Arabidopsis thaliana: one gene and its partner. Each later gene encodes a partner of the first gene's protein in a complex. Each region holds a gene or a part of one and is shown on either strand. Other genes may lie near its edges.

Region 1 (3,756 bases):
TTTGAGGCACCGAAGGCAGGCGTGTTTGTGGCACCAAAGGCAGGCGTGCTTGATGCACCAAACGAGGGTGTGCTTGTGGCGCCAAAAGAAGGCGTGCTTGGAGCGCCAAAGGCAGGCGTGTTAGTGGCACCAAAAGGTGTAGACGAACCAAAAGAGGTGTTTCCAAATGCAGGTTGGGATTGCTGCGTGGAGTTTCCAAAAGGATTTGACTGAGGCGTTGAAAATCCCAAAGGTTTCTGCCCAAAACCAGAAGATCCTAAAAAGGAAACAAATAAAATTAGCTTAATCACCAAATGCAAATGTAAAACTGTTAAACAGGGCTTATTCTTAAACCCTTGTCCTACCAAAGACATAAAATATATTCATACCCAGGAGAAGCAATAAATCAATGAGGCAACTAACAAACCATGCAATGAAATCCATAAAAGGTACTTACCACCAAAAGGTGAAGATGCTGGAGATGCTCCAAAGGCCGGAGTAGAATTCCCAAATGCTGGTGATGAAGAAGCTCCAAAAGTTGGGGTGGAGGCAAAGGGAGAGGATGTTTGAGGTGCACCAAAAACACCGGTTGAAGTGCTTCCGAATATTGAACTTCCCGACTGTGCAGCAAAAGGAGCAGACGTGCCAAACGGTGTAGCTGGAGCAAAGGGATTATTACTACTTGTATTGCTGGTCTGACCAAACAAAGATTGAGACCCAAATGGGCTGGTACCAGATGACTGTCCAAAAGCTATAAGAACAATGTTTCAGAAGGTCAATTTTCTTTAGAAGTATATACAAAAGAAATAAATAGCATAAAACTATAAAACAATAACGAAATATTTGGCTTCGGAAACCAACAAGTAAGAATAAGATAGGATTACTTACGATTAGATGAGCCAAACATCTTCCTCTGTAGTTTGACAACGGATGGCCAAGCCAAAAGAAATTATATTATCCTGTAGCTGGAAAAAAGAACAATGATTAGGAGAAGATAACAACAGAACCAAATGCACATAAGCAGCACCATACCGGTAAAAGCTGGTTTTAAAAATTCAAACACAATAAACATCCGTAAATTATACTATGAATTCAACATCAACTTAAGAAGTTGGTTCCTGCGCTACAGAGAGTAGTAGACAAAGGACCTAGAAAGTGTATTGTAAGCAGGTATGACTGAGAGAAAGAGAGATGAGGAACCTAACGAACCTCTAAAACCATTGAACTAAGCAACATCACAACTAGAAATCATCGGGAACTCAGAAATTGAATATGCAAAATGAATATAAAACTTGAGCAAATCCAGCAATAAAATCAAAGCTGGAACTAATCGAAATGAAACTCGAAGAAATACCTATGAATCCGATGTCAAAAAGAGAAGAACAAGGACACACGTTCTTCGACCAATCAGATATGATATCAAAGGACTCTCAAGAGACCAAGAGCGGAAGCTCCGATCGTCGAAATTATCTGCGTGGAGGAAATTAGGGTTCAGGAGTGAAATCGCCGAGAAACGAATAGGCGGCGTGGAATCAAATGTGGAGCAAGAAGATGTAGGAGAAATGGAACCTGAAAACGACGAGCTCGATCTGAAAAGCGACTAGAAGATGGAGCAATTTCGCCGGAATCGAAAGCGCGACGGTTGCAACTTGCAAAGAGCGAACGATTGGCCCTTTTTGTTGGTATGATATGATGACTTCTCTCTTCCTGCTTGCGTGTTTAATTGCTGAATTTAGGGCATCTTCACGGTAAAAGTGATAGAAAGTATCTCAAAAAAAAAAAAATTAATCCAATCAATATATTTTCCGAATGGTGCAGTTCAAATAATAACGAAAATACATAGATACATATGTATATGTAAAGATTTTGATACTGTTACAGCACTGTTGCGGTGCGATTTTGGATGCGGTTTTAGTCATCATTTACAGCTTCAGTTCGAAGAAAATAAATCACTGGTTAAATGACAACTGTCAATAAATGCTGAGAATCGTTTCTCCTGTGAAAAACGTTCATCCACTTTTTTCTCTTTCTCTCTAATTTATTTTCTTTTTTATTATTATTTAATTGATAAGTATCTCATTCACATACTCCGATGGAAATGGTCTCACTTTTAGGAAATACAGTAAATTTTGCTTATTTACTTTCAACCATTGTAATAGAGAGTTTAAAATGCTTTGTTTCCAACGTTAATTTTGTCTCAATACTACAACAATGCTTTGGTTTGTAATAGACCCATATTTTGGGCCTGTATTAGGCCCATATATATTAATAAGTGCACTTTTTGAACCTGACGACATATCACAAAACTCCAAGCTCGAAACATGGATTCGAATCCAAGCTCAAATTAGTTTAACATTATACAAGTTTCGAAATACAGGCTCAAATATATGTTTCTGATAGCAACTTTGAAATATATCCTGCTATATTATTTGGGAAGTACATTTTAAATGTAACTTTAATTTTTGTAATTAATTACATGATAATGTCATTAGAAAAATTTAACCAAAAACAAAATTTTTTATTGACGTCATTAAGGTTACCAGAATCATTTAAAGACAATATTCATCTCTTACCTATATGGCTTATTGGATCTAAAGACGGGTCATCAAAGATTTCCTAAACTAAAGCAAAATATACTGAATATTCAAATATCTCTCTGTTACCAAATTATAAACAAATAAGTTCGTAAAACAATTTAATATTTTATATACGAAATCAATTAAATCTTAATCACATAAAAATTAGCACAAAAAAGTATTTAACAATTAAAAAATTATATAATCTCTGTGTTATATAAGTTTTGATATTATATTCGAATAAAGTGTAATATACCTTTTCAATTTGTATTCTTTAAATAATTTAAGCTAACTAATATATTTGCTAATCTTATACTATCAAAACCGACTATTGTTTCTTATCTCTATAATATTTTTACAAGACTTTTTTGGTAGATTTAGGTAAAAGTGCATTCAGGTCATATGGTACATTCCCCTATTAAATAAATATGGTGCACTCCTATGTTATTAGCTAAAATGTTTATATTATAATTCAGAGTCATATCATAAATAAAATTAATATTAATAAAATAAATGGCTGTTTGGCAAGACGGATTTGGAGGGACGGGTTTTTGAATCAACATTAATAAAAAAGTAAAATATAATTAATCCACCGTTTCAATACGGAATAAATCTTTAATTTATTATTTTTTAGACCACTAATATTAAATATATCAAATCATCCTAATTTAGAAAAGATTATATAAAACCAAAAATGTTATGTGGTATGTATAATGTTACTATATATAAAATTAAACTATAAAATATAAATGTATTAGAGAATGATACAATTTGCAAAACTTTTATATATAATAAATAATTCTTCAATTTTAAAAACTACTACTTTAAAAAAAATCACGGGACGGGTAAAAAAATTACAGAACAGGTTTTATTTTGGAATTGGGTTATATGGTAGATGTATTTGAATAAATATTTATAAAATTTTAAAATATTATTAATATGCTGTTTTAATAGGGGTTAAAACTTCAGTTTTTTAACAATTGTCTCATGGATTTATGGTATAGCGTTACTTTATAACAATTTTAAATTGTAAAATATAAATATTAATAATAAAATTTGCAAATTTTAATATATATTACTTTAAAAAATAAATCGTCCCGCGATATACCGCGGGTTAAAATCTAGTATTAATATATAGGTGTTAACATACATCATCATGTTCCATTGTTACAAAACTCGTTGATAAGGTTGTCTAAATTCT
Region 2 (3,756 bases), on another chromosome or scaffold:
CCACGAGTTCTTTGCCTGGAGTTGAGGATACTCGAGGACTCGAACCCACCGGCACTAGTTGACCAGCATGAGCCTCTCTGCTTGTATCAATCATATTTGTTTTAGGTAGCATTGATATTCTGCTGAGGCTCTGAAGGAAGTCACGTTTTTCTTTTCTCCAATCCTCCTGTCAAGTCAAAATTCACATTCAATATTTAGCATCCATATCTTTCTAATATATCACTTAGCAAACCATCCACATCCATGAAAAGTCTCTTTACAAAGATAAAAGCATAGTACAAATGTAGAATTGACAAACAACAACATTGCAGAATTGTATCACAGTGACTTATCATTAAATTAAAATTAAAAATAGCCAGAATACAAACCTCCAACACTTTCATCATGTAGTCATTAAAGCTTCGAACATTATCCTTTTGGGCTTCCTGAATAGCTGATACCATAGCCATTTCATGAACCTAAAACAAAACAATAACAATACACATCATATCGACCAATCCTCGCCAAGAAAATCAATCTATATGATGATAGATATAGTAAACCTTGGAGAAATAGAAGTACCTGTTGCAGGTATTCTTCAACGCTCGTCGCCTCAGCAGGGAACACATCCTCAAATGTTGTCTTTTAAGAGTATTCAAAATAAATAAAAACATCACATAGTGGCAAAAAAGAATAATCACATTTGAATAGCAGACAGCAAGCTGAGAGATGTGTAAGCATACAAAGGTGGGACTCCAATGCCTTACAATACCAATAGTCGGACCAAAGACACAGTCAGACAACAGCAAGTGATCATGAATTTGTTTGCTAAGACAGCTAAAGAAGTAGATTCGTTTGACGACATATGAAAAATTTGTTTCACTACAAGTAAAAAGAAAACTACTTACTCACATATTGTACTTTCTTATCTCAAGGAAAAACACACCAATAGACAAAGTAATCCTTGAAGCACATTATAAGGAGAGACAGCTAAGATGAAAAATGTCACCTTGAGCTCGAAAGATTTAAGATCACGAGCTAGTTGCTCTGCATTGATTCCCTCCCGTGCGAGTAGTCTGCAAAATGTCCAACGACAAAAAAGAAAGACAAGAGAATTAACGCTTGCTTTTGGGTAGTAGCTACGTCCCATTTGAAAGCTGAGCAATGAATTCAAGACATTTCAAATTCTTGTTCGCATACAAAACACAATAACAAGTGAATGAGACGGTAAAAATGAGATTAACCTAGTGGCAGCAATAGACTGAGAAGGAGCTTCGTTCCTCAGGGTTTTAGCCTTGAGCTTCTTCGATAACGCTTCCAACTGATCTAAATTTCTCTGATAGTGAAACAGACAAAAATCAATCGAACTAATCTTAAACGATGAACCTCAAAACCAGCGGAAAGAGGAAGAACCTGAAGAGGAGGAAACTGAGAAGAAGGAGCAGCTTGCTCCAGAAGCTTCGACGAAGAATGGAGAAGATCAGTCCAACCACTCATCTCTTGGTCGTTCGCCATTGATTTTGGATTCGAGCTACTACTACGCAGTCGGGGAAGCAGCAAAGAGAGGGTTTCCGTCGGGATTCAAACCTTTTTGATTTATTTTGTTTTATGTTATTACCTTTTACGACTAATTATACTTTTCTGTTAATATATAGAATTTCTTTAAATTCGATAAGAAAAAATAGCTATTTACTGTATTTAGCCCATTTTTAAGAATTAGACAACCAATGAAGACAAATTAAAAAGCCATCAAAAATGCTCTGTAAATCCAAACATATTTTTGTCTCATTTTCTTTTCATGAACAAAGTTTTTTTCCGCTTTGCGAATATTGTATGGGGGAATAAGATTATGAAAAAATTACCATCTTACTATAACAATAATAATATTCCTTTCTTCAAGTTTTTTAACGCCATTACAAGAATCTTAAGCAAAGGACTTCAAAAAAGATTTGAAAAAGAAACAAAAGGCTCTACTAGAGAGAGAGAACAATTGCTTTGTATCTTCCTCAGTCGATATAGATTTATAGATATAGATAGTTCTCTATTGCATATAGAAGAATCAAGAAACGACTTCAAGGACTTGACAGGTTTTTCAGATCCTCTTCCTTTGCATACCAACTTGGTGCTATCTTTGACAGATGTGGATACAAGTCTTTGTATGAATTCCTTATTGTCCCTTCTGCTACTCCTGTCGCATGCGATATATCTGCACCCCACCCCAAATATTAATCAGTCTATGTTTTGTTTAAAACGAATCAATGAGAATAAATGAGACCCGAAAGAATGAAAAAACCGAACCTTTGAGAGTCTTCTTGTCATCAGACAGCTGGGTTATGATATAGATGACTACTGCTGCTATTGATATAGGACTCCTCCTGCAATTTCCCAAAATAAACATCTTTAAGATTCTGCTGTGTTTATCTCCGTCCCGAACTGAGGGAAATAATTGAAATGTACCTTATATCAAATTCCTCAGATTTTTGCACAGCTTCCTGAGCAGCTTTCACCGCATGGTTAGACATTGCAAGGTTGGAGCAGAACCTTCTCTGCAATTTCATCAAATACAGAGTTATGAAACCACGTAGTCAATGCAGCCAGCATAATCAACTGTTTCATAACATAATTAGCACACTCTAGCTAGGTTCTGGTATCAGCAACAATTTTAGTTTTAGACAAACTCACCATGAAATCACCAGCGTGTATAGTTCCTAAATCCACAGACTGACCAGGCTCCAGTCCCAATGTCTTAACAATGTAGTCTTTTGCTCGGCCAATTTCCTTCTTTGTCGCCCCATTGGCAATAACGCATATTTCTATTCACAAGGTTCACGAGTTTGATTGACTTATGTCAAAGCTATATCAAGAGGTAACAAGACTCTCTCAAATGAGAAATCTTTGAAATGTACCCTTAATAGTTCGTGGCTTGTCCTCTTGGCGACAAGCAATGTACAGACAGGCTGCATAAAGTGCATCCTGATTTCTTCCCCTGCTTGACTTCTGATCCTCCAGCCTCTTATATAACTCATTAGCCCGATCCTACATATCACGAAAATCCACCAAAGCTGTAAATGAAATGCTCCAACAGCACATCCTAACATATACATTCCACAAACATATTAAGTTAGCAGAGACGAACAAGTTTACCTTGATAGTTGCAACAAGTCCCAACCTGGAAAAAATATCAACAAGTTAGTGTTCTCTATTATCACAAGGATAATAATGTACATACACAGCAGAACATAAATCTGGCAATGTAAACAAACACTCTAAACAACCAACAGAAACTTCATCCCTTTGAGGAACAGACTAACACATCACGAGCTAAACGCATAAAGTACAAGGAAAGTGAAAACTCTCAATGAAAGATTAAAAAGGAAGCTCCTTTTGTTCTTTAATTGACAATGTAATTTCACAAACGTATGCAAGAGGCGTGATGATAAATCAAAGCAAGTTCATACAAAATCAATCTCCAATAGGATTAAGGATCGTGTGATCTAAACGTTTCAATTGTTTATAAAGTTGCAATCCAATCTCAGAGAAGGTGAGATCTCAAAATGGGGACTACCTTTCAGACATGGTAGCAATGGTTTTAAAAGCTTGAATCAAACCACGATCGGAATTGGAGTTACGATTCTGCCACCTCCCGAGAGAAGAAGACAAGAAATCACCAGATGAACCATTGGGCTTAGCGATAACAGTGGTTAAAGCACTATCAGCGAGAAGCGGGTTGGTTGGACCACCGACACGATTGGGATCGCTGTTGGAAGATTCATTAGC

Evidence for each region.
Region 2: AT1G10390 (region 1) and AT2G41620 share a complex: the UniProt entries of both Arabidopsis thaliana proteins name them as parts of the nuclear pore complex.

What each region holds. Positions count from the first base shown.
Region 1 is NC_003070.9:3,411,160-3,414,915, forward strand, and holds the start of AT1G10390 (Nucleoporin autopeptidase), read right to left. Parts: upstream 1,716-3,756; 5' UTR 1,584-1,715; coding exon of another isoform or gene 1,391-1,583; 5' UTR 1,374-1,390; coding exon of another isoform or gene 1,315-1,373; intron 945-1,314; 5' UTR 887-944; coding exon 868-886; intron 731-867; coding exon 437-730; intron 257-436; coding exon 1-256. Other genes in the region: AT1G10395 (uncharacterized protein), read left to right, coding at 1,315-1,373, 1,391-1,583; AT1G10400 (UDP-Glycosyltransferase superfamily protein), read right to left, coding at 3,710-3,756.
Region 2 is NC_003071.7:17,353,504-17,357,259, forward strand, and holds the start of AT2G41620 (Nucleoporin interacting component (Nup93/Nic96-like) family protein), read right to left. Parts: upstream 1,601-3,756; 5' UTR 1,495-1,600; coding exon 1,393-1,494; intron 1,316-1,392; coding exon 1,224-1,315; intron 1,056-1,223; coding exon 989-1,055; intron 622-988; coding exon 562-621; intron 459-561; coding exon 369-458; intron 167-368; coding exon 1-166. Other genes in the region: TFIIB (transcription factor IIB), read right to left, coding at 2,052-2,185, 2,278-2,354, 2,437-2,525, 2,662-2,792, 2,886-3,015, 3,124-3,148, 3,545-3,756.